Styela clava: one gene and its partner. The protein of the gene in region 1 purifies or fractionates together with the protein of each later gene. This does not show direct contact. Links are inferred from orthologs where the notes say so. Each region holds a gene or a part of one and is shown on either strand. Other genes may lie near its edges.

Region 1 (16,047 bases):
CTAAAAAAAATAAAGGCTCTCTAAAAAGCAAAAAATTTGTGAATTTTCATGTATATACATAATGTTGAACTTGTCAAATAATTATAAACGAATGATGAAGATCAGATAATGATTAACAAAAGAAGCAAGATTTCAAAAGCTTGAACTAAATTATAAGTAAATTATGACACAGATAAATGTTAATATGCTAAATGCAGGGGGCATAGCCATTTCAGAACCGAAGTTTCAAATTCAAAATCGGAGATTCGCCTGCAATGGCTTCTGAAACCACCTATTAAAAGAGGTGATTCTTCTGAGAATACTGATTTTTCTGTTGCATAAAATATGCAATCCCTGTCCAATAGAAGCATTAAGAATGCCTTGCCATATTAATTAATTATGTTCAACTCACGACTCGTTGACATACGACAAAATAAAAACATCATTACTCTAAAATACCTTTCTCTATGAAGATCAGTGACTTTGACCCCAGATAATTGTTCCAATTCCTCTATGGACCCGATGCAAACGATTTCTTCGAAATCCTCGCTGACCCACAATGGTATTGGAGTACCCCAATATCTATTACGAGAAACGGCCCAGTCATGAGCATCCCGAAGCCAGTTTGCAAAACGTTTTTCTTTGACAAAATTAGGAACCCTGAAATGGAGAGAAAATTATAATGTGAAATTAAATAGCTGAAAGTGACATATTATTTTTCTTATGTATCGCATTTCTGAGTAGTGAGAGTGGTCGGCCTAAGCTATGTTGGTGTCACAGGTCAAAAATTTCTGGTTCAATCTCAGAAGCTGACTTCGCTACCCGTGTTGTAATTGGATTAGCAATGGAATCGACTGGAAAGATTTCAATTCATCAAAAATGGTAGATAATTATGTTGTACGATGCCTATGTTGCAGGTTAGCAATGGACTGAAAGGCTCCAATCCATCAAAATCAGTATCTAATTACGTAGTCACTGGCCTTCGAAGAGAAGGTATGAAAACACCTCATAAAATGACCATGGTTCGCATAATTTTTTCTTCCACCATTCGGTCAATGCATCCACAACAATTAGCTACTTCCACCTAGTCTTGTAACTAGAAAAACTGATAACTTGTCATAAGAGTATGTCGTCTGGCACCTTTTTTCTTCGAGCTAACCAAGATAACCAATAAATATTTCAATAATACTCACAAAATAAAAAAAACTTCACTTTGCATCACATTTCATTGGCAATTCATGATAATATTTTCATATTTATCCCAAGGGAGGGAAAAGCTGAAAGATGGATTAACCACCACGGCCTATGTCTGGTTATCGCTCCATGTCGAATATGGTTTCAGTTGGATGATTGTTTGTTTCCAGATTGAAGCTATCAATATTTAACTAGCAGTTACATGACCAACCCTAAAACAGCAAGGATGTGCAAAGCAATGTTTTGCACATAGATATCCCCAATAGGATTTGAACCTGCAAACTCAAGCAGTGTAATCAGAGTTGTGATGGCGAGCGTATTTCTAATGTTTAGCTTGCTGAACAGGTTATAAAACTATGACTTACCAATATGTCTTAGCATTGTTCTCCAATAATTGCTTTGTAATATTTTCCACTCTAATGAACCAGCTTGGTACAGCTTTGTAAAGAAGAGGAGTTTCAGATCTCCAACAGAAAGGATAGTTATGTTTTGTTGTGCTTTGGTGAACAAGTCTGTTTGTTCCTTTCAGATGACGGCAGATAAGTTTATCAGCATCCTGGAATTGGTATTGATATTTCAATTTTTGTTTTTTAACCTTTATCACAAGCCAAACTGATTACCTTATCTAATCTTAGATAAGACATTTGATCTTAGATAAGATATTCCATGATTTATATACAATTTTGGTATCAATTTCTGTAACTTAGTGAACGATATTCAATGAAAACAATGACTCACAACCTCGTCTGCTATAATGGAAGGCGCAATAATAAAATGGCCTATCACTCGGTAAACCTTGTCAACAATAACGAATCAATATTCAAGAGGAAATCATATAACCTTCACATATACTCCAGCAAAATCCTTCACTTCATCAGTAAACTTTCCACTAGCATCCACAGGACAAACTGGAAGTCCATCCTTTGCCACTATTCCATTGCTTGTACAGATGCGATAATCATCCTAAATTGTTGGTAAATTTGAGAATTAATACACCATTAAAAGAGAGGTTAGCATCTATTCTAGCTGGACTATTTCAAACCACTCAGATCTAGCCAGATAGATACTTGGTGATTGGGAATTTCACAAATTTTATTCTGTAACATCTTATCTGAGGAAAGTCAGAATTCCTCAGATAAGTAGTTTATAGCAATTACAAGATAGGAACAACAGTATTGTTTAAATATACCGAATGACAATAAGCATAACGGCTTTTAGGAAATGAGAAAGTATGAAATGAAGAACGAAGCTTTTTTGATCATATCAGGCTCAAATTTCTTTAAAACTCAGGCTGAAAAAGATTCATATGAGCATGATGGCGAAGAACTGAGGTCAAGTCGACGATTAGTGAAGAGTGTCATGGTTGGTCAGTGATGACCATTCCGTCAAGGAGATAGATTCAAATAATATAATTTTTCGAATCTATCTCCTCGGCGGAATGGTCATATTCCTTCAAAAAATAATAAAATTTGATAACATTTTGATGGCACGAGAAAGAAAGTAAGTTCTCTAGAATGTGTTTCTAAAAGACATAGACAAGATTGTAAAATGACTTGTAAACTTACCGCTCCAAAGAAAGGAGCTTGATGAACGACTCCTGTACCACTATCATCAGTTACATATGTATCACACATGATACGGAATGCTCCTGTGCTTTTCATCTGTACATAATAATATACAAGAATACAGATGTAATACATAAAAATCGAAAATCAAGTTCAGACTATGAAGAATTATTTGTAAAAAAAATCTGATGAAACTCAATGACATTAACCCAATAACAGAAAATGATTACGATTGCCTCATTAAGTTAAATGTCTAAGACCGACTTGCTATCACTACTGAGTACACTGTAAGACATAAGGTTAGTAAGAAAATTGTAACTTCTTGACTTGTGCTATGCATATTCTGAGGAAACAATCATTAAAAACGTACAAAATTATCTTATATTCGGAGCTTCAACTCACTTGAGCAAAATATGGAAAGAGAGGTTGATATCCTTTACCAAAAAGAGTTTTCCCTTTGAAAGTATCAAGAATTTCATATTCAGTTTCTTCTTTATACAATGAAATAAGACGATTTTTCATAAGGATGTAAATCTCTTCTGTTTTTGTATCTCGGACCTGAAGAAATTCAAATAAATTATTGATGAAAAATTTGGGCAAATAACAAATTTCCTCGATAGTTAAATAGACTGCGCCCTAGAACTCGATTAAGCTATATTATGTAATTTCCACCTAATGCGCTAAATGATAAAATCTTATTTCTATCCAAACTTGTATAGGGTTATTTTACCCCTAATCTTAGCATGCCCATACAAACAGCAAATTAGATGCAGTAAAATTGGTAAAAAAATTTTTTCATTTGACAAGATAGCATACCATGGGCTATTGGTTACCAATCCTCCTCCGGTATGGTAAAAGGTGGAGCAACCACTCTGCGATGAGAGAAATATTATATAGTTGTCTCTCGCATATAATAATCCCCGCAGGATTCAAACCGGCGAACCCACTCAAGGTAAATAGAGGAGCGATGGCAAATGTTTTTCTAATGTCTAGCATGATGTGCCAAGCCCCGTCGACCTTTTTGCATTAGATATATTGCATTACATCAGCCTTGAGGCACAAATCACAATAACCTGTGGAAAGCTGAAGTCGGAAAACAGACTTCACTAAAGTGAATTAAAAATCTTATAATGAAGATCAGACATGAAGGGTTTCATGTTTTCTATTCAAGTATTGGATTTATTTAGAAAATATAGATACCAATGTCCCATGTTCCATCTAGTTAATAATGCTCTACAACATTGGGATAAAGTCTGTTCAAATATATTTGGGCTTGATAAATCTCTTATCTGCGGTCAATTTGAGAAAGTATATTTTCAGTAGAGGGGAATTTTAACCATAAAACATTCCTTGTATGCTTTAGTGTTGCATCATTCAAAATGAGGACGCATCTTTATGTACTTATTTAGTCACGTAGACAGGTATTGAAATAGTTTAAAAACCCACAAAACCATTGAATATCAGCAAAAGAGGAACAAGACGATTGGTGGTTTGACATTTTCATTTCGAAGAAACTATGTTCCTCTTTCGCTAGTAAAAACATTGTTTTGACCGAAACTAAAGATAAAGAATATTAGTCTTTGACTGGAATAAGAAAATCAAAATTGATAGCGATACAACACGACCCCTAAAATTGACAAAAACTTGGGTCATTTGGAACATGTTCAAAAGAAAACATAACTTTCGTGCAAAGCTCTTCAACTAACTGAAATTTTTGAGTGCAATCATACACAAATAGAAGTATTGAATAAATTTCCTTAATTTTCATAGAAGCAATACATAAACTTCAGGGTACAGGGTTTTCGGGGGTCACCCTGAACATACCTTAACGTAATCCATATCTGGATGAACACAGAGAGCGAGATTGCTCGGCAAAGTCCATGGAGTTGTTGTCCACGCAATCATTTTCACTTTTGGATCTTCATCAAGAGGAAAATTGATAATGACAGCTGGATCAATAGTGTCCTTGTAATTCTGTAGAATATAAATTTAAAACATATTATTCTATGCTATATTATAGTAATTGTAAATTTGTAATACTATAGGTTTATTAATGATACAGCTATACTTTAGCACAAGGTGGGAAAACTTGATGCCAAGCCTTTTAAATTAGGGTAGTCCTAATAAATTCAGTATTTGAGATCTCTACATTCAGACTCGTTTATTGTAGTTGTAGTATTGTAGTGGTTTAAATGAAAACATTTGTCAGAGTAAATATGTGACACACATTCTAAAAATATAAAGTATTTACTTTATGCTCTAATTTTACAACAAAATTGCATTGCTTAACAAGATAAATTATAAAATGATGAAATCATTTTTCACTTCTGAAAGAATGATCAATAATGGTGCAATCACTACGAATGTCATGAAAACTAATATCAAACTATAAAATATCATGTTCGTATACTTCGTATATGGTTTTTATTGAGTGATTTGTGAATCACAACGTAAACGTGATTGTATTGCATATACGTATTGTATACGTATATGTATACAATACGTATACGTACGTATTTAGCCACAAAATGTCAATGTACAAAAATGAACTTATAAATGACAAGGAAATATTCACATACCTGACTGGCTTCGAAATTTGATAGTGGAGTATGACAACCCGTTGAATATGGCATTACTTTGAAGCCTTTGTAAACAAAACCTTTGTCGTAAAGTTGTTTGAAAACCCACCAAACACTTTCCATAAACCATGGATATAAAGTCTTGTAATCGTTCTTAAAATCAATCCAGCGTCCCAAACGATTCACGATGTTCTAAATTGAAAATGAAAAACTGATAATGATAAAAAATTTGGAATAACATACTGATATTGCCACTACATTCATCTAATATGCTGCTAGCACTTTCATTTTCAACAATACTGTAATTCTATTAATAAAAAACCCAATTACCTCCCAATCAGCAGAATATCTCATGACAATAGATCGACATTGTTTATTGTATTCCGCGATTCCCATTTTTGCAACATCTTCTGGTCCTTTAATACCGAGAGTCTTGTCAATCTCGTATTCCTGAACAAAAAAGTCACATTCGAATAAAAATTGAAAACAACTAGCCATGTCCAAGGACTTTAATTCAAACCGAATGTTTTCAAAAAAGCATATTTTTTCTTGGAAATTTATAATTTTTTTGAATTTTAAAAATACCAAACAATTAATCGAAGTACAGAAAGCCCTAAAACTCCCCACAACCAGACTGGGGTGCCATCATTTACCATTCAAGAAAGCAAAACCAATAATGTTCAGAAATGAACATGCTATTGTTAGCGATTACAAGTAAAATAGAATGTCGATGTTAACTGAGATTGTAGAAGTTACATAAAACCTACCACAGGAAGACCATGACAATCCCATCCAAATCTTCGATCAACATGAAACCCGCTATGGTGAGCATATCTCGTCACAATGTCCTTTATGGTACCAGCAAGAATATGACCATAATGAGGAAGTCCCGTAGCAAATGGAGGTCCATCATAGAAAGCATATCTACAAAGACAAGCATTATGATCAATTTTTGAACCATTGTTTCGTCACTAGAAACCATTCAAAGATGAATAGGCAAAGAGTACCAACTTTGCTGTTTTACACTTGATTGAATAGTATACTATGGTTCTTTAGAGTTAAACAACACCTTTGATGAGGTTCTAATGTACGGTATCTCCTATTTAGAATGAAAAAAATCGGGTCTCGCCAAGTAAACGCTGTAACGGTTTAAATAAAACCAAACACAAATGTGGTGTGAATTTGAATGCTGTATGAGCTTAATTAACACCAAACAAAAATGTGATGTGGAAATATAACACAAATCCCGTTTTTTTTATAAATAAGAGTCCCTCTTGTGCAACCACAATATCTTAAACGGCATGAGACATACCTGACTAGTTGAAATTGAGTAGGTTTGGTAAGAATTTCTTCCTGCATCATAAGACTTTTTTTTAATTAAATTAAAATTTTGACATCACATAAAATCTCATTTTTTTGTTTGGCCTTATTTGGAGTAGTTACGACGTATATTTTGAATCACATTTTTGTTAGGCGTTATTTAAGCAGCCACGGCTTTTACTTCACTAGTCCTAAAAAAATCATATTAAAACATGTTCTGAAAATCACACTAAAAATGTTTTAATATTAAATTTACAGTAATCAATAATTGCGGTATAATTTTTATGTTTAAAAAAAAGGTAATCCTTAGATCCCACAATTCAGGTCACATAACAGCATTACCATATATATCAGTTTATCGGTAACGAAAACTTGTGCTTACACTTTAATATAGAACATTTACACTAGAGTACCCAACACACACATGTAGGGTACTAATTTCAAAGTGACAAAAAATACAAAAGCGTTTTACCTCGGCTTTCCTTTAGATTGTTTCAATGAATTTTGGAAACAATCATGTTCATTCCAAAACTTTAGAATTTTCTCTTCCTCCGCTGGGAAATTAATATGTTCGGGGACCGCCTCAACCATTTTCCGATCGTCGAATAATCCCACTCGAGTGCCGGCTTAGTGAACACCAAGCAATCTTACAACAGCAGACAGAAAACCGTAAAACGCCAACTGCGACGAAGACTGGATATTCGAAACTGCTACACGATGAACAAACGCCCCCAACACACCTAGCATGATGAAACGTGACGCCGTGGACGAAAAAGGCCGTTGCCACATACCGGCCCGCCCTGTAGCTTTTGCTACGACTCTAACGGATTAATAGAATTGCTATTCAAAATAAGATATCATTTTTGAGTCAACTAAAATTTTAATTTTACATAAACAGACAAAAAATCCAAAATTAAAAAGTACAAATATAAAGCATATGTATGGTTGTGCGTAATGTCAAGAATCATCCCTCACAGAATGTGTTTACCAGCGGCATATTGTATCCATCCGTTTGGAACATCTACCTAACTCACTTGCTATTCCCGCCCCGAATGATTGCAAAACCAAGCACGGGCTTGCGGTCACCGTGCTAAGCTTTTTAAAAACGACTCCCTGACCCAAAGAATGAAAATCCGATCTCAATACTTTTGAACGAAAGCTGCTGTCCTAATAATCACAGAACAACCTTTGCAATTCATGAAAACTTTATTAAATTTTACGAATATCTTGTATCAAAAATGCAAATAACAGGCACCGACCACCTCATGTACAGCTATAACACTATCAAATGCGGATTGAAAATTTATGTTTCTGATACTGGGATCTAATAAATTTTCTGTACAAGAACGTGGCGAAGCGGTGAGGATCATTGTTGGCTTTATTATTCACTAAAATGTTGCATATGAAATCTACCATCTCTAGCTAGACTTGCAACTCTGCTGTGAATTGACTTGGGCTTGTACTCGACAATGGTTAAGCGTAAACATTTTGAATAATTTGTCAGGCACACAACTTTATATCAAACCAATGGAGCATATCTCTATAAAGTGAGAAAATATCCTTATAACATTTTGTAGTTTTTGGATTGTTTTAAGAATTGCTGTCGTTTAACAGCATCGAACAATTGGAGTCTACACACAAAAGCCTCTTGGCTCAATACTTCATTGACAGAATTTTATCTCCTTCCTCTTTAGGAAAAATTGCCATTAGTAATAGGTAGTATCATCTTCTACTCTTCTTCAATTTAGGTGTTTTTGCTGGCCGTAGGTACGGATTATCAATATTATCAGGAGTCCTCTCATTCGACTTGGAATCATCAGCTACCCTTTTCTGGCTAGATGATTTGTTTTGTCGTACATTTTGTTTTCCTGCATTATTCTGCAAAATTTGAAATTCCACGAATAGGTCAAAATTAAAAATAATATTTTTATGACTTGATTAAAATCGTTTTTATACCTCAGCAGCTGCTTCTTTTTCTAATTTCTCAGCCAAGTCATTCTCACAAGGCAGCAGAGCAGATAAGTACGGAATTGCAGGAGGAACTGCAGCAATCACTATTCAATACAAAAAATAGCAGTTAAGGCGAACAAAGTTGTACAGCTATGTCACTCAATGAAAAAGTATATAACTATTTGTCCATGTGAGTTCTCGACTGGAAAAACCATTAATCCAATTTACATAGACATCCACTTCATGATAGCTAATGATGCACATTCAAAATTCATGCAATAATAATTATGTTCACGATGGTTGGAACGTATGGGGACTCTGGTTTAAATCTGTAGGTGGATGATAATATTAGACATTAGAGATTATTGTTGTCACTTTGAAAACATAAAGGTTCTTCATGTAGCAAGTAGATCACAGCTTAATCTATCCAAATGAAATGTTAAAGTAAAACATATCCTTATAATGCTCCCAGGTGAGAAACCATAGTTCATGACATCATTACACATTTTAATGATTATTCTCAGGAAATCAGGACTGATTTTCTAAGAAAACAAAATCTACTGAGGTGATTAAAGGGAGTAAAATTACATGGAAAAGCAGATTTGTCATCAGGAAGTAGTGCATGACTTGAACCAGTCTTTGCAATGAATCTTGTAAGAGCTCTTTCAACATCCCATCTCTGTGATGAACCCCTTTCTCGCAATAGACCATAATTATTTTCAGGTTCTTGTCCTGTCTATACAAACAGAAAGGTAAACTATAACCAGAAAACAGAAAATTCAGATAACTAGATGTCATGACAATAACACCCTTTAATCATGCATTCACAGAACAAATTCAAAAAACTAAAACGACATTTCGGCATATTGAGTCACCAACTTCTACAAACAATAAATTAGTAACTTCCAATAAATCTTTAAACCTACACAAAATAGTAGCATATATTTTATATTCAGTATTATGTATTTTGAAATGCTCTGTACTTATGGTTTACAAGATGAACAATAATACCAATATCATCCATATCATTATGATATAATTACAATAGTCAGAAAATCTAACTTTTATCAACAAAATTTGTAATCCAGATAGCCAAGAATAGCTAACTAAATCCAAAAAAATTTGGAAAATTTCTGAGGGCTAATTTTGAATAATCTTCTTGTACTTGCTATAAAGTTTGAGAATTTCAATTAGCAAATCGCAGGTTGTTTAAATCAATGATTATCTCAAAGATTGATTCTCTACTCAAATGTGCACACGCCTTGGTGTTTAGCAATATCATTACAAAAAAGTATTCTTACCAATGTCCTAACATAAGTATGAGGATCTGGAAATTTAGGATAAGTAGAATTTTCCGGAATATGTGTTGGAAAGTTTCTTCGTTCACCAACAAGAAGAACATTTGGATTTTGTGAAGATGTTGTCTTGGAAACTATAAACATATAAATAAGACTTTAATACTTTGTGAGACTTCAGACTTTAATACTTCATTCAGGTGATGAAGTAGTCTATTCAATAACCTAAAAATGTAGTGATCGATAATTGAATGATTAATTGTACACTTTCTATATCGTTAATCCCGCAATGGTTAGCAAATAAATTTCAGCAATTTGTTATGTTATGTGAACGATGTTTAGAAAGAAAGACATTTTGAAATTCGAACACTCTGCTACTTAAATTAACAAATTAACTGGGTAATTTTTTTTTCAAAAAGAATTTTCAATATGACTGGTCCAAACCATAATTCTGTGTTGCACAATTTTTCCTTTCTTCCAATAAATTTACATATTTCTTTCAGCAATTTATTCATTTTTGGGTCATAATTAGTTACCTTGCTTTGAGAGATATATTCATATGAAAAATTCAAATATACAAATCATATAAGTGTTGAAATATAAAAAGTCAGAAGCAAATGAATAACAAAGACATACCAAATTCACCTACAGGGGTGGTGACTCCTTTAAGGCCCATGGGCCGGGGCCACGGCCCATCTAATTGGGCCACATGGTCCGTGGCGGCCCATCAGAAAAAATTCAATTGTCCTACCAAAATTTTCAATTCTTACAAAATTGTCAATATTCGAACAAAAAAAAATCGCGGGATGCCATCAAACCTTTTTCTTGCGATAAGCCTTTACATAACAAGATAGCTATGCTCAAATATATGGACACGTAGCGCCACCTAGTGGGAATAATTTTAATGACGTCGTAGTGAAAAAAAAGTAATAGCCTTCTGGAGAAAAATTTTATCTTCAACCACTAAAAATTTCAAAGCAATTGGTCCAGTATTCGAAGAGAAAAGCGATTTCTTCAAAACGTGTCAAAGAACAACAGTGAGAACAACAACAACATAATATTGAAATGATCGCTATGTCCACTACGTGTCCAAAAATAAAGCAAAATACTAAGCTACAGAAAAGGATACACCTGAAGTATGTGTACCAGGTTAGGAAATTAGGACAAAACTTTGTTCAGATTTTTCACATTATAGTTCTATTATAAGTTCGGGAAGTGGGTAGGATTTACATATTTATTAGTCTTTATTATTTCATCCCATTACACAACTTGATGGGCCGCGGCCCATTTCAATGGGCCGTAGACGAATCACCACTCCCACTCAAATTCACCTACTCCACAATCATAAACCTTTTGTATGAAACCGAAAAAAGAGTTTGAACATTTTTGAATAAGTTGAAAAATAACTAACTGACCTTCACCAATGGAAACTCTTCGCTTATTTCTTATAAAGTCAGGCAGTGTATTGAATTTGAATCCTGCATCAGCCAATGCAGTTTGAATATCAAGAAGTGTTGGAAGACTTCGTCCTCCTATTTCGCAGTATTGGCGAGTACTTCTGGCTATCTCTGTTAAATCTTCAGTGAATAAAATACATATTCAGTTTCAATTGAACAAATTCTATTGATGTAATAACTAATCATTAACACTGATTTAGATGCAATGATTAATTCCATTTCACTGAGTTTCAATATCCCTACAAATGTGTGGAGAAATTGGTCTGACAGGTCAAGAATAATCTCTTTTTTAATGTAAAATTCACTTCTTAATGTAAAATTATTCAAATATTGACAACATGTATTGCTTTTTACCTATCTCACTAATAAAACTAACTACACCATGCCATATTAATATCACTCTTTGTGAAATAACTAACTTAGATGTTCAAAAACCTTGTTCAGTCGAGAGATTTATTAGCCATTGAAAACGTTAATGATGTTGAACTATAGAAATAAGTTGCCAAGTTGAACATTATTTGACATAAAAATATAAAAACGACCACGGCTTATCGATTAGGCAGGATTAAAAAAAATTTCAATAATAAAGGTTATTGTCAAAACATGTGAAACTGTAGAAAGAACAAGCTAATATAGTTAGCATTGCAATTATATGATGAAATCTGGAAATGGTTCACTTGCAAAATAAATAAAAGCACTTGGAATTATAGAAAGATCAAAACATAGTATTCAACAAAACTCCATTTTGTTATGTATATTACGTGCATTGTTATGATAATATTATCGATTTATCATGGTTTAGATTTGATGTAAATATCTTCAGTTAATCGCAATACCACTGGTAAATAGGGAAAGAAGAACATTACCTCAATTAACAACATATATCTATATATTGCTGTATCAGTGTACTAAGTTTGTTAAAGATTGAATTTTATATTTCCAACCTTTCAAGACATTTAATTTATGGCATTTACTTACATAACAGCCCGAAGTTCAATACATTAGCGTATTTTTGTTTGTTTATGTCTGGCCCAAATCTCTCTATAGCAGGTTTTTTTTTTTTGTAATTTTTTTGTGCATGTGCTGTTTTAAACTTTTTTAAAGGTTTTGCTCGCTTTCCAGAATTCTTCATTTTTGTGTATTATGGAGTTTTCAGAATTAACTATCTATCTATCATTGACATACAAAAATCCACTTACAGCTTTGTGCAATTTCTGTCAATGTCTCCAGTGCGGACTTTCGAACAAACTCGCAGCCGTTTTCCACACACACTGCACCAATGGCTGCAGTAAGGCCTTGTCTATATGCCACAGATGGATCAGTTCCTTCTTGAGACATTTTAACAACTGAACACGAAATTTCTGCAACATCAAATGAAGAAAAGCTACCCACGGAAGCTGTGAAAAAACTGCTGTATCTTTGGTGGCGAATGTGTCCTATAGTGGTGGTAGCATAAAAGTCATATTGGGGATGGCAGAATAGGGATGGCGAAATACGGTCGAAAAGTGGCAGATTAGGGATGGCGAAATAGGGACGAAAAGTCAAATTGGGGATGGCGAAATGCGGTCGAAGCGTGGCAGATTAGGGATGGCGAAATGCGGTCGAATGGTGGCAGATTAGGGATGGCAAAATGCGGTCGAAGCGTGGTGGCAGATTAGGGATGGCAAAATGCGGTCGAAGCGTAGTGGCAGATTGGGGATGTCAAAATGCGGTCGAATTGTGGAGCAGATTAGGGATGGCGACGTTTGAGAAAGTGAAGGGCATGGTGTCAGTGTTACCGTACCGTACATCGGTACCGGTACCATTAGTGGTGGTAGCCTAAAAGTCTCATTGCGCGCAGCGCATTAGGAGCAGCGCATTACGCACAGTGAGGCCGCATTAGGAGCAGCGCATTGGGCACAGTGAAGCCGCATTAGGCGCAGCGCATTGGGCACAATGCGATATCGCATTAGGAGCAGCGCATTGGGCACAATGCGTGGTGGCATTAGGAGCAGCGCATTGCGCACAGTCAGGATTGACAATTCATCCATCCATTTTATCATTGTTTATGGAATCTATAATGACAAGCTAGACACGACTTTTAAAAAGTAGCAACAGTAATTCGACTTGAATTGGTACTCGAATTTGCTGGAACTCGGCTGATGATACGTTACTGTAATTTGCTCGTTGCGAGCATCGCATTAGGAGCAGCGCATTGGGCACAGTGAGGCCGCATTAGGAGCAGCGCATTGGGCACAGTGAAGCCGCAATAGGCGCAGCGCATTGGGCACATGCGAGATCGTATTAGGAGCAGCGCATTGGGCACAGTGAAGCCGCATTAGGCGCAGCGCATTGGGCACAATGCGAGATCGCATTAGGAGCAGCGCATTGGGCACAATGCGTGGTGGCATTAGGAGCAGCGCATTGCGCACAGTGATGCCGCATTAAGAGCAGCGCATTGAGCACAGTGAAGACGTATTAGGAGCAGCGCATTGGACACAATACGTGGTCGCATTAAGAGCAGCGCATTAGGCACAGTGAGGCCGTATTAGCAGCAGCGCATTACGCACAGTCAGGATTTAGCATTATTTATGGAATCTATAAAGTCGAACTCGACTTTTAAATAGAATTCGACTTGACTTGGCAATCGAATTTGCTGGGACTCGGACCGGTGATATGTAGCCCCAATTTTATGGGGTATTCCATACATCCCATTCAACAAGGCTTTGCATAAGAAGTTACTAATACATCTGCTATGCATTTTAGAAAAAAGTTATGAGTGTTCCCATAAATATGTGCGATTAATTCACATGATGATTTCAACTTTCCTCCATCCTGAATTGAATGCAATTATATCGTTCTTAACCTCGATCTTTATGCAAAATAAAAACAACAGCAGTGGAAAATGATATTATGTTTAATTATACCACACACATAACATAAAGGAAAGAGATTTGAACTGTCATTTATTAATATTTTTTTCTAATCACTTATAGTCATAACATATTTTAATTATTTGCTTATATCTTTGAAGTTTATGCTCAGATGTCTCAGCTCTGGAAGGAGTTTCTTCTGATGATATTTTAATTGTTTGACCATACGGCGGGTTCTTTTTTGAAATTTAGGTCCATGTTCACTTCCACCTTCATGCATCAAAACCCCAGCTGCGTGAACCATTTCGTGTATTATTATTCCCAACCTTTTCTCCCTAGATTTGATAAAAACGATTGAGAAGTCTTTATATATCGAAACTTATTTATCCGTTTCCTCTGGCTCATTTTTTGACGACTTCATGAAAATGTTTCGTAAAGCTTCGAAATGTATCCCTGTGGATTCGCAGTCGTCGCAAGTCCATTTCGAATCTTCTTCGTGGTTTACTTCAGGAGGTTCTCTTAGACATTTTCTGTGAAACTAAGTTCCGCATGCCACGCATTTATGCATTTTTCACCGTCGTCAGGCATACGGCGCGCGTATTAATTTGAATTCATACTACAGTATAGGAAGACGTGCACTTGTGATATTTACTGTCCGAGTCCAATCCACCTTGGTTGGCTTTTATATTGGGTGCATTGCTGTTTTATTCTTTATATTTAATCTTAGTCTTATTTCGGTGGGTGTGCAAAGCGTGTTATATTGATAAAATATATATTTTTAAACATAAAAAATAATGTAATTGAAACTGATTAGCTATTTTGGGGATTAGACATTGTAGATACTGAGAATTACATTCGATTTTGGAATGTTTAGTTTCCAGGACTGGTGCATATAGTAAAGTTGCAAAATTGCGTATGTCCCCAAGTCATTGACACATTTCTGACTAAGTCACAGTGCGTTAATTAACTGCGTCATACAAATTAACTCAAATCCGGCAACAATCAAAAAATTGAACCATGACAAATTATTGACTCTCAATGGCATAACAATATCATTAGGAAGTTTTTTATGTTTTTCTCAAAACTGCTAAATATGACTTACGCAATTCGGTTATTAGCGTGACGATATTTAAAAAAAAAACGATTGGAAATGTTTATTGATAAATGGAAACTGGAAAAGAGCAATTTTGGAAAAAGTTTTATAGTTACTCATAGCCATTTAGGCATAAACAATCAAAGTTGTATAAGGCTTTGGGTACTCGTGAAGTATGTGCACCAAGATGTCGCACAACCTGAACCCTAACCTTGTGTACAACCTGAGTTCAGGTTGTGCGCCATCTTGGTGCGCATACTTCAGGTCGTCCAGGCTTTGTTTAATAAAAGTTCTATAGATTGCCTTTTACCCCATTGAAACAACTCGAACAATTTAAGCCACATGTTTTGTGTTTCTGGCTATATTTTATCGGTGTACATCACCCACACATGAATATGCATTTAATGCTACATACCGTCAATATGATGATAAATATCATTATGATAAATACAGGAAAATCACAAAAACAACATATAAAATGATTTGATTTTAAAATAAACATTGCCGCAATCAGAAAATGGTTTGTTTTTAATTTTCTATAAGATTTGCGCTTGACCTATTCAGTTTAAAAAAGTATTCAGACATAAACTGGTACTTCCATGAACAGTTTACCAGTTACATTTCCTTAATAATTTACATTGAATAATCAAAATCTAATAAATACTGCCTCACTTCTGAAAATATACTCTGAAGTTCACAAATATGTTAAATCTTGTAACGCATTATCGCTTTTATATTTCTCTATTTTAATGTTTTTTCCACG
Region 2 (15,861 bases), on another chromosome or scaffold:
AATGTGAGAATCTGCCTCATTTTTATAAAAACAACATTTTAAAATACACGGTGTAAATTTGGAGGTTAAACATTGAGCAAAGATTAGAAAAAAATGTACCTTTTCAGAATTTAACATCAGATGACCATTTGCTCGAACAGATCTTGGCCATAAATTTGGTTCCTTTGGCCATATGGCACAATGATTATACAAGAAGTATGTAAGATGATTCGGCACAAGATCTTTGCCTAAATTAAAATATGATGAGTCATATGTTCAAAATTTTTCTTAGGTTAAAAATATTTCTTCAATTGCGCTGCATGCATTTTATTCTATTGCGACCACTAAGATGGAGATAGAAAAAGGCCAGATTTCACTTACTTACTTACCGAATGTTTTCTAAAGCTGTCTCAGATTAGCAGCCAAAGAAGATATCTTGATATTAATTGAAGTAAATAAAAAGTGCTAACCTGATGTTCGCAAATCAACAGGATACCAGTATTGAAATTCACTGCGCAATTTATCCAAAGTGTCTTTGGGTATTTTTGTTTTTGGAAATGGAGTTGATTTGTAAAAAATATAATCCCAAACTTCCCTAGTCATCTGTTCTGGACTGGAAATAAAAAGGTGATAAACACAATTCCCTTCAAATACAAGGAACTCAAAGATGGAGGATAACAAAATAATTTACCATTTACATGGAATCTGATCTTATACATGAGATCCCAGAGTAAATTTGAATGGAAAATATGTTTGAAAATCATTTTATCAAATATTGAATGAATGAAATACCAAGTAAATTGGCTGAAAGATAAGCAAAAAATAATTAGAAACCTAATATTTGCAGGACTTTTCCCAGATCCATCAAAAACCCCTCCTTGTAGTAGATGAGCTACTGTATAATAAGACATGTATATTGTTGAATCAGACAAAGATTCAATTAACCATTGCTCATCCCATGGAAGACGAGTACCTAGAAAAAGTTGAATATATATTTGATTTTGAAGTATCAACTAATCAAACGGTTCCTAACCTGTGCCATATGACACACAAACAATCAAATAACGATTTAAAAATCATGTTAACTGAGAAGTATGACTGACAATATCAGACATTCACAGCATTAATATCATTTGTGTACACAGGGTGAATACCATGAAACTCTTTCCAGCCCTAAATTGATGTCGATGGAGGTAGATTTCCCAATGCATGGTGATTTGTATTATAAAAATTAAATACCTGTTTTCATTTTTTATAGTCTTTTTAGAGTCTTTAAATGACATATTTGGTATTTCGCATTTCAGTAAATTTTGAATTGAATAGTATACAGCTTTGAAAAGCATCCACATACATACCTAATCCATAGGTTCTAGAACAAGCATGCTCTTTCAACCAATCCATAGTCGCATCGAAATTTTTTCTCGTTTCATCACAATAAGTGTTCAACTTTTCCAACGATGATTTAGTTAATGATTTCCAGTTTTTCTCTCCGTAATCAAGATACCTGAATAAAGAAACTCAATCAGGCAAGTTAATATGTGTACGCAAAGTCAAGTTTTATGGAATGTGCTGATCACCTTACGTATAATAGGCCATTTTATGGATATTAACCATGTTGATCATAGAAGAAATGACCATTCAAGATGGGATTTATGGTAATTATCCCACAGTGAAAACACCACAGCCTTTCGCTCAGATACTAGTCCAGGTCATATATGGGAATAACTACGGTAGGTAGTTTCATTGCATATTATACGACAAATTAATGGAGGCTTAACTAAAGCACTTATCTAAATTTTAAATTACCATTGATCACACAAAGCAACAACACATTCGTCAGCAGATCTCGACATCACTTTTTTTTCTGGTTCCATATACAAAAGTGCTTCACCAGATTTAACCATTGCTTGTTGTATAGGTTTCTTTACGTTTTGAACTTTCTGTCCTTCATATCCTTCAACCTTTAGGAATGTAATGAAAAAAATTATTTTAAGAACATAGTCAAAACACTACAACCAGTCATCTAGTACTAGTTTTACATTAGACTGAAATTCATTAAATATACAATATTTCAACCTGATTATCAGATGCCAGAAAAATTATTATATAAAATTTTTAATATATATAAGTTATAATTGATTGAATGGATTTTCACAACTCTATCTCAAGATATAGTTAATATAGTGATTTCTCCATTTTTACACAATTTCGAAAATGACATTCAAAATCAAACAGGATTGGAAATATATATAATTCTCTATATCTTTCAATTGAAATGTCCCACAACTTTAAATCTAACACACAACCGTACCAGCATGACTCCATCATAAAATCCTTTTAAATAAACCATATCTTTTGCTTCAGCCAATTTGTCTCTGTCGTTTTGACTCAAAATCTTTAACTGCTCACAGACTTGAACAGCAGAAAGATTACTGAATCCAGGTATGTCTATGATAGGAATCTGAAAAGTTCAAAATCAGTTACCGTAGGTATTATTGAAAGGACATATTTGAAAAGGAACGTCACCAGTATTGCCTAAACAGTCCTTCTCCAAATATCAGCAGCCATTAGTGTGGATGGAAAATTATGCCAAACCTGATAAAAACCAATAATCCAGCAAGAATATGTGAATGTTAAATGTCATTGAATTAACTTGAGATCAGTACGCTTCTCAAGAATAATGACATTGAAAACTATATGTTTTTACTATATCCATATCAGAAAATCGCAGAGTAATTCTATGAGGTGCGCCTCTTGTGTGGTCCTAAAATTACTTTCAGTTCAGCTCTGCATAAATGCACAACTTCCAAATGAAACTTTGATACTCACAGGTTCAAAAGGCATCACCATTTCATCTGTAATTCCATATTTCTCTCTCAGTGGTGCTTTATTCTTCAAATCTCTCAGAGCTGCAAAATCATCAGGAGCATCAGAAGGAACACTTGTCACCACACCTGTACCTTTGTCTTCTCTTATTGTAAACATAGGAAGAGTGTAAATCACCTGGAAACAGATTGTCCACATTTAGAAGGATATAAGGCAATTTACTATTGCCTTTATATTTGATAAAAACTTGTTATTAAGATTATAGATTTTCAAATTTCATAAATGTAGGGCAAGTTGTCATAAGGCACAATATTCTAAAATATTTAAACAATTTTAGATTCAGTGTCGGCTGTCATACCTCAAGCAGTGCTTCACAATCATTACATAGCGTAATTTATTGTACAGAAATATTGGAAATTTAACCTCATATGATGTTAAAGGAGCATGCAATGCCATTCCCATAATGTCTTGTCCGATGAGTTGAGCAACAACTTCAACTGTTCCAACCTCTGTCATCAATTCTTGATACGACATATTTCTGGCTGCTCGACGAGTACTCACAAATATTTCCTCATTTTTCACCTGAAATAGAACACCAGAACAACTATTCATAAAACAGATATGGAGATTAACACTTCTCTAACCCAAAAATGAGGTCTCAACTTCGATTCATGGTCCACATGTTGGAAACATTTATTGGCAACCTATATCCATCTCGAAGAAACATCCTGATCTATATTTCTATTCCTCGAAGAAATACAGAAATAAAATAAAATGGCAACTAAACTTTAATAAAAAAGATGCAATAGTAGAAAAAAAAAACAGTAAAAAATACAAACAATCTACATAAATCCATCACAGAGAACCAAATGAGAATACAACATATTTCTTATGACTTTTAATTATTGGCCTGATATAATGCCAAAAAAACGCCTTCTAAAACTTTTAAATTGCAGAATCCAACTAATTATGTTGTTCGGCAAAAATACTTTCAAAGGCAAAGGCTGCTAGAATACAACTAACAGTTTGGATATTGAATCGGTTTGTTTGATACAACCAGGTATCAGACTTAGTAATTAAATATGATAAATATAAATTTCTCACCTTATATGCAATATATGGCATATCTGGCCTAATCCAACAATTAGTTTGACCAAACATTGTTTCGGGACGAAGTGTAGCAGCAACAAGAAACATATCTTTACCAGACAAAAATCTGAAATAAGAGAATGGAGGAGCATTAATTATAAGCATATTGATTATCATCCATTAGAATATGGGGTGATTCTGTACTGTACTCCATTTATCACAAGCTTTCTTAAGTTACCAAGTTGATACCAAAAAGATTTCTAACAAAAACCTCATCAATGTTGAAATCAACCAACATCACGTCTGACAATGTTAGTGATGGCATGAGGTCAATATTGAGGCTCATAAAGATTCGAAGACAACTCAATTCAAGTAAGAAAAATTACTTCAATTTCTCAGGATATGGTTCTAGCACTTTCATTTTGATAAGAGTATATTCTTGACAACCAACACCTTCCCCTGATTGACGATCATGGTCCATGCATGGTTGATTGTCCTGGTAAACACAAACAATCAACTTCAGAGTATCATGAAGGGGAAGTATCATCCATTATATTTTTTATATACTCAATAGCAACATTAAAAAAATGTGTTAAGTAATAGAATAAAGTAAAGACCTCTGGTCCAAACTCATACTTACCGTAACACCCCACCAAGGGTGAAATAAAATTGGATCGTCTATGCTAAAGCGGAAAAGTCAAAAACATTGTATCACCATGGGTATTAGTGTATGCTTGTGCAAAACTTAGTTTGACGCTTAAGTATGAAATCACCTCATAAAGAAAAGACGTCTATGCCCAGATAGAGGTCAATAAGGTAATTTTGGCATTAATTATTTTTGTGTCAATAAACTCTCATTTTCTTAGATGAATTCCATTTACAGATAAGCCCATATAAATAGACACTGTTTCCTAATAATACAACAATGAAAAGAAGTTTTGAATACCTTAGGTGAGAATATGGTATATCTTTTACCAAATTTAATCATTCCACGATCTTTCATAGTCAGAAACTGCCATCGTACAAACGAATCATAATATGGATTTGCATCTGTTGTAATAAAAGTTCTTCTCCAGTCGACCTTAATTGAAATAATAAGAGTATAATAATGTAACTCTTGATACTAGACACTGATCTGAAAAGATCAAAATCGAACAAATTCGTTTCATTCAACAAAGGTGAAAAAGAATCACAATTCACAACTCACAAGTTTAAGCCTATTGTCTATAATGCAAGAGTCAGTTTAGATTCCAACAGAATTGTTCGATTTCAAATTATTTCCTGTAGATTTGGCGATTTTTGTTTTACCACATATGTGGAACAAGATATGAAACTCAAAACACAATACCAAACAAAAAATAATCGAATATTTGTTTACCTTAGTTTAGGTATTTTTTGAACATGACCTAATTTAGAATAAATTAGATATTCCATATTTCAAAATATTACTTTATAATGCATTTGGTAATATTGGTAGTTTATTTGGATTTGGCTATCCCTAATCACAGCCATCACTTTATTAATTCATAATTGTTTATCTGAAAAAAACTATTGTTATTACCTTCAAACCCATGCTCTGCAAATCACTTTTAGCAAGAGGTGGAAAATACTTCAGCCAATGTTCAGGATCAGAAAAATGTTTGATTTCATCATCCTTCAATCCTAGACATTCCATAATTTGCCACTGATATTGCATTATGCCAGACTTGGCTACTGCTTTGCTTTTCTTGGCTTTAGCCTTGTCTTTAATTACTGTTAGTAAAGTTCAAATATTTTTGTACTACATGCAACTTTTAAAAGTTTTGAATTCTATTATTTTGTACACGCAAACATAACACAGATAAATGGTGAAATAGATACTAGAAATAGTAAAATAGTTCATACTTGATTCAGCCGTTTGTTTCTCACTTTTCTCACACGATTGATTAAATTCAGGAAAATTTGGTGGATAACCATACATTTCCATCTCCCTTTTGAGTTTATCTGCACAAGCCTATAAATAAATATTGATAATTTCTTTCAAATGATATAACTTGAAATTCAATTCTAAGCAACATTAAAATCGAATGAAATTTGACATAAATAACGATATCAAAAAGTATCTAGGTACACAAAATTTGAAAGTATTTAATTTCATAAAAAATGGTAAATTTAATAAAAAAAAAGTGGTGAAGTATATTTTGAATTATGAGGACCACAGTGCAATAAATCATGAACCTTGATTGGCATTCCTGTGCAATGTAGTCCGAATGGAAAAAGACATTTCTTCCCCAGCATTCTTTCGAATCCAACAGCAAACTCACATTTAGTGAGGGAAAATGTGTGACCAAGGTGCAAACGTCCATTCATGTATGGATACGGAAAGGTCACAAAATGTTTCGGCGTCCTGAAAATATAAACAGATTTCAAATGTTAAAATGAAAGTTTATTAAGCATGATGTGAATTGGCAATGTATTAAACCTTCTTTCAGATGAGTCTGGTGAAGGTGCATTTTCCTCAAAAACTTTTGCTTCATTCCATATCTTCTGGACTCTAGTCTCAATTTCTCTCAAGGCTTTGAGCTTGAAGGTTCCTTTTCTTTCCACATTGTCACTCTTGACAAACATAAAAAATTTTTTTTAAATTGATCCATTATTTTTTACATTCATGAGTTTGTCCTTACAAGACCATAATTTATTGTAAGCGGATCTATATAAACTCAGGTAACTTATCCTTGGGTTAACTTCAATCTGAAAACATAAGGCATCATGTCACCACTATAATTTAATAAAGCGAAATAAACATTGGGGTATCAGATTACTATTTATTTCCACTGGAACCACAAACAGGGAATTCCCCCTCTAGAAACTATAATTGTTCATGCTATGAATACCCACTTCATAAAATGATAAACACATATAAGAGACAAGAGAAGAGTCCAAAACTGTCGCTCACCGACATATTTGAAATAATATTTTCTTTTGAACTGCAATCTCCCAACTTGGAAAACTTTTCTTCTTTGATGTAAGTAAGGAAGAATTAAATAACTGGTTGAATACAACCAACACAATGCAGCTATATTAATATATAGAAAATAGGTAAGCTTTAAAATTAAATTGGATAAACACTGATACCAGTTATGAAAATAGCTGGTAATTACTGAAGAGACATAGTATGGGCAAAAGGGCTGTCTGTATCCCAGGATGAGTGTACTGTCTTCAAAACATTTACTGAAATATGAAAAACTTATCCTCCTATTCAGCCACTACTAGCATAAGGCAGTAAGGTGGACCACAAGAACTTGTACGGTTGAAGTATACACTGCACACTGAAAGACTGGTCTGATTAAAGAATGGAGGAACTGAAGAAATTTCAAATGCAAAAATTTGGCTTCAGAAGTGCGATACTTTGCCTAATTTAAATATTAATTACAGTAAGGTCTGAAGGTAGTTATTCTGTTATTGGTGGACCAAAATAACTCATTTGTGTTAATGTTAGGTACGGTATCATACTTTTGCCTTGTGTTTGTTTGGTACGGTAACCCAGCACATTTTGGTTAGGATAGGATAGGATTTACATATTCATCCCGGGGGAGAGGAAAGGCGATAAGACGTCTTATTCATATGGTGAACCACGGCCTCTCGTCCAGTTACCATTCCAAGTCCGGTACCGGTATGGGATTAGTTATATTGTTTGTTTGGGTCTAGTATAGTTTAGTACCACAAGTACTTCCAGTTGGCGTATCAAAACGAATTTTGCATATGTTATTCCTAACCCCCACCCGACTATGCCATCTAAAAATTACGTCAATACGGCGTCACAAACACGTCATAGGGCTTGCCAAAGTATAATTACGATCGCCCGAAATGGCATCCGCGCCGCCGATTACGAACTCGCTGACGCCGGCGATCTCTCTCCTATCGTGATCGTTATGACGGGAAAACGAGAGAAATAGCTTGCTCGATTTCGGGTGATCATCTGCGCGTTTTGGACGACCATCCGCATACTTTGGCGGGCCTTATTACGCCAATGTGACGTCGAAATGACGTAATTTTTCGGTGACGTGTCAGGTGGGGGTTGGGATTGGCATATGCAGAAATTGTTGAGCCAGGCCAACTAGAAGTGCATGTGGTACTAAACTATACCAGACCCATAATATCTATCTGTGCCAAAGTGACTACCGGTATATTTGATCTGTGCCCATCTGCCCAAGCGTGTGACAATCGTGTGTTTCCGACCTTTGACCCCAGGACGATAGGATTTACATAATTATCCCGGTGGAGAGGAGTGTTCAGTAGGGTTAGTTCGGATACCTATAATTTTTAATATCCAGATAACGGATATATCCGGGTATTTCGTATTTTAATTATCCGGTTAACCGGATAGTTACTGAAAATTGTGGAGAACCCATTTCACAAGATTTTTGCGGTGAATTGACCGAAAACCACCACACAGTTCTATTGTAAATGCGTACATGTGTATTATTTTGCTCGAACCAAAAAGGATTATGCATTTTGATGTTGCGTGTGTCAATAAATAAAAATTTAAGCTTTGTAATCGTTTTCCCCCGACTGGTAAATTATTTTCTCTTATTCAAATCATATGTAAAGATTTATATTATTCCTTACTTTATTGTTAAATTTTTTGGAAGTTTCTCTTTGTGTCTAGACTCTAGAGCAGGGGTCACCAAACTACGGCCCATTTTATCCGGCCCGCAATAACACGCAAAAATGGCTAAATATTTTTCCATGGGAGATTTCCCCGAGCATCGTCTTCCTTGTTTATTTCGTAACATTGACTAATCAGCAAGATGCAAAAAAACGTGACGTAATAATAGGCCTTTTCGCATCAGCTCAGATAACTTCTGTCTTCCTGACAGATTTCCAGTCGTGGTTGTAAACAATACTTCGTTTTTGCGACTTTGAATGCTATTCGTTAGTTTTTGGTTGTGTTTCGGAAATTCAAGTATGAATCAAATAAGTCAACTATCATTTGCATCCTTAGGAGTTGTAGTTTTAAAAGTAGTAATAAGAGTCAGACTTCCTCAGACAAGCCGCTTTAGAAAGTCTGACTCTGGTCAGACGAAACGTTACAGAAATACATTTGTGTTAGTGTGCAGCTGGACTCTTTAATTGGAGTTTATAAAAAGCGGCCAAGAAATAACGGAGATATCGGAATTTTAGTACGGCCCGACAGGGCAATTATTGTAAGGCAAGGATTGTATTACTTTTTTGATAAGAACTGTAATAAATATGAAAAAAGAACACATGTCAATCACTAATACAGTATTGAGACTATTTTAGGATTTTATTCTGGCAACGGTCATTGACACCGCCGAAAGATCGTCGCAAATAAACGCTGGAGTTGTGCATGATAGTTTAATTTGCACTACGTATTAAGGGGGAAGGAATTTTTAAAAGCGTGGAATGCTGAGAAATTTATGCGCTAATGAAAAAAATCAAATACCAGATATGTTGTTTATTTTATCTAAATTATGTCAAAATTTCATGGAATTCCAAGCTACAGCAGGCAGTCCGTAGTCGTTTTTAGCAGTAGCAGTATCCCAACACGGCGTAACAGCACTTAGCAGACGTGAAGCGTACATTATTTTGGCGCGAAATAGCCGATTTTGTAACATTCCTAATTCATGACAGCAACGTTTTGATAACAGCTAAACTCAGGATAGTTCTAAACTCTAGATATAGAAATCTTGTATATTTGTTTTCCTAGGATGTTCTTGATTTATATTCTGCGATATAAATAGAATTTATTATTCAAGTCTTCAGAAATGTAGAATTTATACTGTATTGTTAAATAAATTGAATGGATTTCCCAACTTTTGTAAATTTATTTTATTGCATTGACAAAATTATTCATCCGGCCCGTTTCAACCCAGTTTGAGTCATACCCGGCTCGCGGTCAAAAAAGTTTGGGGACCCCTGGTCTACAGCAATGGTATTTAAGCTGGGGTCGATCGAATCCTGTGGTTCGGTGGAGCTGTTCCAGGGGTTCAACAAATGACTTCTGAAACAGTTGCATATTATGGGACTTTTATGTTACCTAGCATACTAATTATGATGCACACTTTACTATAGTTCATCGCAGATATTCAGACATAAACGTTCAACAAATAGCTGTGAGTATAGCTTCGCGCAGATATAGGTTTAGTGGATTTGTCGGTGCTCTACCACCTTAGATTCGGATTCCAGTACACTTTATTAAAAGCTCATATCGTCACAGATGTCGTACGCTTGGGTGTGAGTACTTATCTATGATAGAGCTTTTAAATGCTTTCTGCTTATGGCTTCGGAATAACTTGGGATGTTATGACAAACCAAGTACTTCTGAACTTAAGATTTTGCGTGACCCCTACTCACAATCTGCGGTACTAATGAAATTTAATTCGTTTCACGAAGAAATCGAAGATTAGCATTGGATGTACATAAAAGAAAGCTTTTGTTTGCATTTAAACAGGTGATAAATTTGCGACAAAGAATACTTCATTGCAGAACTTTGCAATATGGCGCCGCGTCATATCCTATACCTATAAAATAAAAAATGCGGCATACACTTTTATCCGAACTTCAATCCAGTTTGAAGTTTGAGAAACGAATTACCTGAACTTCTAACGTTTTGAGGCATACTATAATTTTTTGGATTGGATCTTTTTATCACAGTTATTTTTATCACTTTCTTCCTTTTTATCAGTTTTTCGCCTTTCCACCCGCGTAACTTATATATAAAAAACACCGCTTTCCCTGACGCCGAAACTATTGATAAAACGATGCCTATATCCACGCGGGGTATTGGTCTTATTGGTTACACCACAATGTTCATTTTCTATTGCCTTGCATGAAATTAGCTCCCCCTCCATAAAGTTAGGATTGGGCTCCTAATTTCAACTGTTCAGTACGATGGGGCTCGACGGAAGCTTGCAGTCAGTCGCCACTCAACAAAAAAATATAAAAATCACTAATGCGCATATGCATTATTTATACTTCACTATTATCCGGTTAACCGTTACAATAATATCCGTATATCAGATAGCAAAAAAACTCTTGGTTATCCGGTTAACCGCTATCCGGATAAACAAACCCTAGTGTTCAGATTGGCTGACTCTACTGTATACTAATTTACATGTTTAAAACCATCACTTTATTTGAAATATATAAAACCACCTGCTATTCAAAAGTACCGACAGACAATGTTAGCGTATGATCGCAGCTATTCAGGAACGAACCAATTTTTGATGGACCTTTCCCCGACCTTTGACCCCTGGAATATTCTTCCCATAGAGAACTTGCACGGGTCACGTGACTTTGTTTACTGGACGGCAAAAAAAAACGTCCATTTGGCTACTGTCAGTTGCAAGTCGGATTATACGTTTCCGTTTTGTTTGGATGTTGAAAATGGTTATTTCGTATTGTTCCGTTGGCTGTACGTATAGTATAGACCAGGGCTTCCCAAACTAGGGGCCGCGAAACGAATTTTGGGGGCGGCAAAGAGAACACCAATTTCACACAAAGTACTATATTTGTTGTACTTTTTCAGACTATTGATTTGAAATACAATTATTAAAAATGGTGTAAAACAAAAATTTCACGATTATGAGTGAATACATACATCATCATATCGTGTTTCCCAAAAAATAAGACAGTGCCTTCAATTTTCTTTCGAAAATACCACTAAGGCTTATTTGTCGGGTATGTAGAGAATAACACGATTTTTAATATATCAAATGTGAATACCGATTTCCTTTTACTTATAAAATACTTATATTTTTTTTAATCATTTTTAAAATTCAGGCTTGATCTTATTTTCGGGGAAACACGGTTGAATCATCGCGCTGGCATAACAATGAATATTCTGATCGTAAGACCCGATTTGCGCGTGCTTCCATAACGATGCCGGCTTTATTCGTTAAGCTAGCGGTTCCCGAGGGCGATTCGCTAAGTGCGCCTCGATAATCAGGATATTTGTGTTAAATATTAACTAATACATGATTGAATATTTTACATATTTTGTTTATTCTGAATGTTTTATTATTTCCCATCATTGCAAATGATCTGTATATAAATCGAATTCAATTTACCGTTCTATGTTGTTCACTTTCTGTTACGTAATGTCTATTGTTACGTGAGAGAAGAGATAAAAACCCTACATGCTGCAATTTCGTAGGCTGTAGTTTATTCGTTTGCTGATCCGAGAATATCGAACATAAGAAATAAAAGTTAAACCTTTTGCCTTTATTTATTTGGCCTACATGATTATAAACCTCAAAACATAAAGTACACATTAATGATGACAAAATTGTGTTTTATATTGATGCTGCATATTTTTCGTGTAGGTGCGCCGCGAGTTTTTTCCCTGATAATTTGGCGTCGCACATTTTGATTTTGATCAACAAGAGTGAGTAACAATTCCGGATAGGAACCATGCCGGCTGGATTTGCTATGCAGCAAAAAGCATTCGCACCCATTACACTGAATAATTTAGTAACGTTTATCTGCGTAAATATGTCTTGTTTTTGTTATTGAGCAGGCCTACTAAAAGTTGAGAACTACGGTAGCTGTGTCAATAAAATAGCAAAAATGCATATTTCGAACTGTTTAACATTATTAACGTGAACAAGGGCCGCGAAAAATTTTAATATATTAAAAAGGGGTCGCGAGCTCAAAAGTTTGGAAAGCCCTGGTATAGACAACGAAATGGATCTTCATTTATATTCCACTGTTTTCAAAAGTATTGTTTCCCTAGTTAGCAGGTAATCTATTACTAAGTGTGAAAGGTTGAATAGATAACTAAAGTTTAACACCAGTGGTCATGCAAAAAATAAACCAGAATTCAATTGAATTCGCCATCTAGGAATACGCTCGCCACCGCATCTCTGATCACCCTGGTAATTTCACAGGTTCCAATCTCATGCGGGGATAGTTATGTGCGAGAGGATTGCAGCTCTACTCCCACTGAGGATATTTCACACGACCGCTGATCGGTTACGACCATCATCCAAGTCCATGCTTCTGAAAACAAATACCTGGCTAACTAATCCCAACTTAAAATGGTAACCGTACGAGAGACTGTGGTTCGCCATATGATTTAGTTATTGCACCTGCAATCCTCCCGGTCGGCGTCTTTCTCTCGCGCTCCTCTTAGGCGTATCAGGAACGGGTAAGTCAGTCTGACCCATTTGTTGTTGTTATGGTTCGTGTGTTTCAGTCATGTTCAATTTATTGAAACGCCTATTCCTCCATCATATTCGGCCACTCTGCAACTTCACAAGATAATCTCTATTTCTTCCGATTCCCATAATTGTTCCCACTCTAGTTCATTTTTTTTGTTGTGAGCTCCTGGATTCGAACGCTGGAACTAATTTTCAGAGGAGGAAGTGGTTTGGAACGTTCGTCGTAATATCTTTTGCTATACAGCCGCGCCTTTGCGGCCTTCCGGTCACATTCTTCTGCAAGTGTCTGCCATTTCCTAGCAAAGACTTTTGATGTGCTGGAACACAGGAACGTAATGGGTGTCCAAACACAATTTGTGCTGGCGAGCGGTCGTCTACCCTTGGTGTGTTGCGCCATTCTAAAAGTCCTCGCTGAAACTCCTCATCATGTATATTTCCATTAGATGTCGTTTTAGCTACGAGTGACTTCATTGCTTTAACAGCTGCCTCGGCCACTCCATTAGATTGTGGATATGTGGGCGTTGACATTACGTGATTGACGCCCCATCTGTGAAGAAATTTTTTGAAGTCACCTGAAGAAAATTGCGGACCACCATCTGTTCTCATCCGGACTGGTACACCCGTAGACGCAAAATGTTTCCTGATCGAGTGAATTACATGCCTGAAGAAGGGCTTCAAATCCTACGATGTTGAAATAGGCCATCCGGAGAGCCTATCTGTGTAAACCAAATAGCTTTTCCCAGCTTAGGAAAATAGATCAGCGGCAACCTCCTGAAATATACGCTCAGGCATAGGATCCGATATCATTGACTACTTCGGCAAACTTGGGGACATTTCTTGGCACTTATCACACGATTGGACAACGTTTTCTATATCAACACTCATTCCGGGCCAATAAATTATTTGTCTTGCACGTCTTTTCATATGAACAATGCCCTGATGCGCGTCATGAAGTCGAAGTAGAGTTTCCTTTCTTGACCCTCGGGGAACTACAATTCTGGCATTATATAATATTAAGCCGTCGTCCACACTCAAATCATTTTGTATTTTCCAAAAGGGTTGTGCAAAAAACGGTGCTTGTTCACATTTCGACGGGAACCCTTCGATGACCACTCTGATCAACTTTTGGTACTCCTGATCTTTTTCAGCAACTTCGCAAAGACATGTTAAATTTGGATCAGAAAAAACACAATCATCACCCTCATCTACGACTTCAAGTGAACCAATTTGCCAGATTTTCTTTACGCAGGTTTTCACATCTTCCTAAGCCTCTAAGTCATCTTTCGTCGAGTCATCAACTGGGGCACGCGAAAGCGCATCTGGAATCGCATGCAGTTTTCCCTTGCGCCAAACTGTAGAAAACACATATATTGAGAGTTTTTCCTTGAGACGCTGGAGGCGAGGATTTTCGACCATGTCCAACGTCTGGTGATCAAGAATTGGGACTAGCGGTTGGTGGTCTACTATCGATGTGACATGAGGTAATCCGAGTAGTAAAATTCGACATTTGTGAACGGCCCAGACATCAGCTAATAATTCTAATTCAACCATTGCATACCGTGTTTCGACGTCGCTTAAAAATCTTGAACCGCATTGTACGAGTCGCCATTTTTCTCCATGTTGTTGAAGTAGAGCATAGCCCAATCCCTTCTTGCGTGATGCATCAGTTTGTAAGACTGCGGGACGGTCAGGATAGCAGTCCAATTAAAACTGTTGCGTGTTCGTAACAGGCTACGTAAAGGGGCGGCAAAGGTGCTAAGTTCCGCTGTGAAATCTCCTAGTTGGTTCACTAGACCCATAAAACTACGCATTTCAGTGATATTAGTGGGAGTCGGAAATTCTGAAATAGCGTGAACTTTCTTGGGGTCAGCTGAAATACTATCACTTGAAATGATAAACCTCACGAATTTTACCGTGCTTGCTGCGAATACAAATTTTTCAGGGTTTAAAGGGATGTTGTTGTAGTGACATTTATATAAAAATTCCCGAATGGCACGGACTTGTTCTGGGAAAGTTTTGGAATACATGAGTACGTCATCGACCACTTTTTGCATGTTATGAATTCCATGAAGTGTCTCATCTCCTCGACGACAGTACTTGTCACCCGTGGATGACAAGCCCATGGGAGCTCGTAAAAATTTATATCTACCCCATGGGGTTATAAAAGTTGTCAGATGCTGACTACCTGAGTCTAACGGGATTTGCCAATACCCGTGCTTGGCGTCCATTGTAGAGAAATATATGGACTCACCCGACAATCCAGATATTTCATCTCTCGGGGTCTGTAGTGGATATGATGGCCGAGTAACAAATTTATCAAGCTTTGTTAGGTCCACACAAACACGTACACCACCTTGTGACTTTGGCACAATAACCATTGGATGGCACCACTCAGATGGTTCCGTCACTGGTGATATTATTTTTGATTCGACCATTCTTTGCAGTTGCTGATGCACTTCATCTCGCCATGCATACGGAATCGTTCTAGAGACATGTAATGCGAAAGGTTTTGCTTCGTCACTTAAAACCATTCGTCAGCTTACTAAATTCAGATTCACACACACCATCATCACGCTCAGATTTATTCACAACAGCTACCATGGGCTTACTAGCACGATTACAACCAGGTGCACTGTGCGTAGCATCAATAGAATGACATACATCAGCCACAGTAATTAATTCATCCAAACTCTGAGTCTGCCTGATTGTCAAAGTCTTACACATCTCGAAATCAGGAAAACCTGAAATGAAACGCTGCTTAATCAGATTCTCACGAGCAATACCATCCAAAGAAGGATAAGCT

The links.
Region 2: the proteins of isoleucine--tRNA ligase, cytoplasmic-like (region 1) and leucine--tRNA ligase, cytoplasmic-like purify together in Homo sapiens (affinity purification with mass spectrometry; 7 studies listed by BioGRID and IntAct, counting the BioPlex papers as one, with this or other methods). This does not show direct contact. The link is inferred for Styela clava from reciprocal best matches to the Homo sapiens genes IARS1 and LARS1.

The regions. Positions count from the first base shown.
Region 1 is NC_135258.1:11,726,560-11,742,606, forward strand, and holds the start of isoleucine--tRNA ligase, cytoplasmic-like, read right to left. Parts: upstream 7,417-16,047; 5' UTR 7,229-7,416; coding exon 7,110-7,228; intron 6,242-7,109; coding exon 6,085-6,241; intron 5,768-6,084; coding exon 5,648-5,767; intron 5,510-5,647; coding exon 5,318-5,509; intron 4,713-5,317; coding exon 4,563-4,712; intron 3,297-4,562; coding exon 3,141-3,296; intron 2,835-3,140; coding exon 2,739-2,834; intron 2,137-2,738; coding exon 2,014-2,136; intron 1,730-2,013; coding exon 1,539-1,729; intron 640-1,538; coding exon 439-639; intron 1-438. Other genes in the region: transcription initiation factor TFIID subunit 8-like, read right to left, coding at 8,360-8,515, 8,594-8,691, 9,176-9,323, 9,889-10,019, 11,298-11,459, 12,539-12,677. UniProt on the Homo sapiens protein: Catalyzes the specific attachment of an amino acid to its cognate tRNA in a 2 step reaction: the amino acid (AA) is first activated by ATP to form AA-AMP and then transferred to the acceptor end of the tRNA.
Region 2 is NC_135263.1:8,315,885-8,331,745, forward strand, and holds the start of leucine--tRNA ligase, cytoplasmic-like, read right to left. Parts: upstream 6,989-15,861; 5' UTR 6,836-6,988; coding exon 6,830-6,835; intron 6,490-6,829; coding exon 6,356-6,489; intron 6,281-6,355; coding exon 6,112-6,280; intron 5,888-6,111; coding exon 5,779-5,887; intron 5,647-5,778; coding exon 5,456-5,646; intron 4,976-5,455; coding exon 4,841-4,975; intron 4,391-4,840; coding exon 4,281-4,390; intron 4,022-4,280; coding exon 3,910-4,021; intron 3,388-3,909; coding exon 3,229-3,387; intron 2,983-3,228; coding exon 2,809-2,982; intron 2,441-2,808; coding exon 2,291-2,440; intron 1,941-2,290; coding exon 1,786-1,940; intron 1,484-1,785; coding exon 1,335-1,483; intron 953-1,334; coding exon 814-952; intron 593-813; coding exon 450-592; intron 228-449; coding exon 100-227; intron 1-99. UniProt on the Homo sapiens protein: Aminoacyl-tRNA synthetase that catalyzes the specific attachment of leucine to its cognate tRNA (tRNA(Leu)).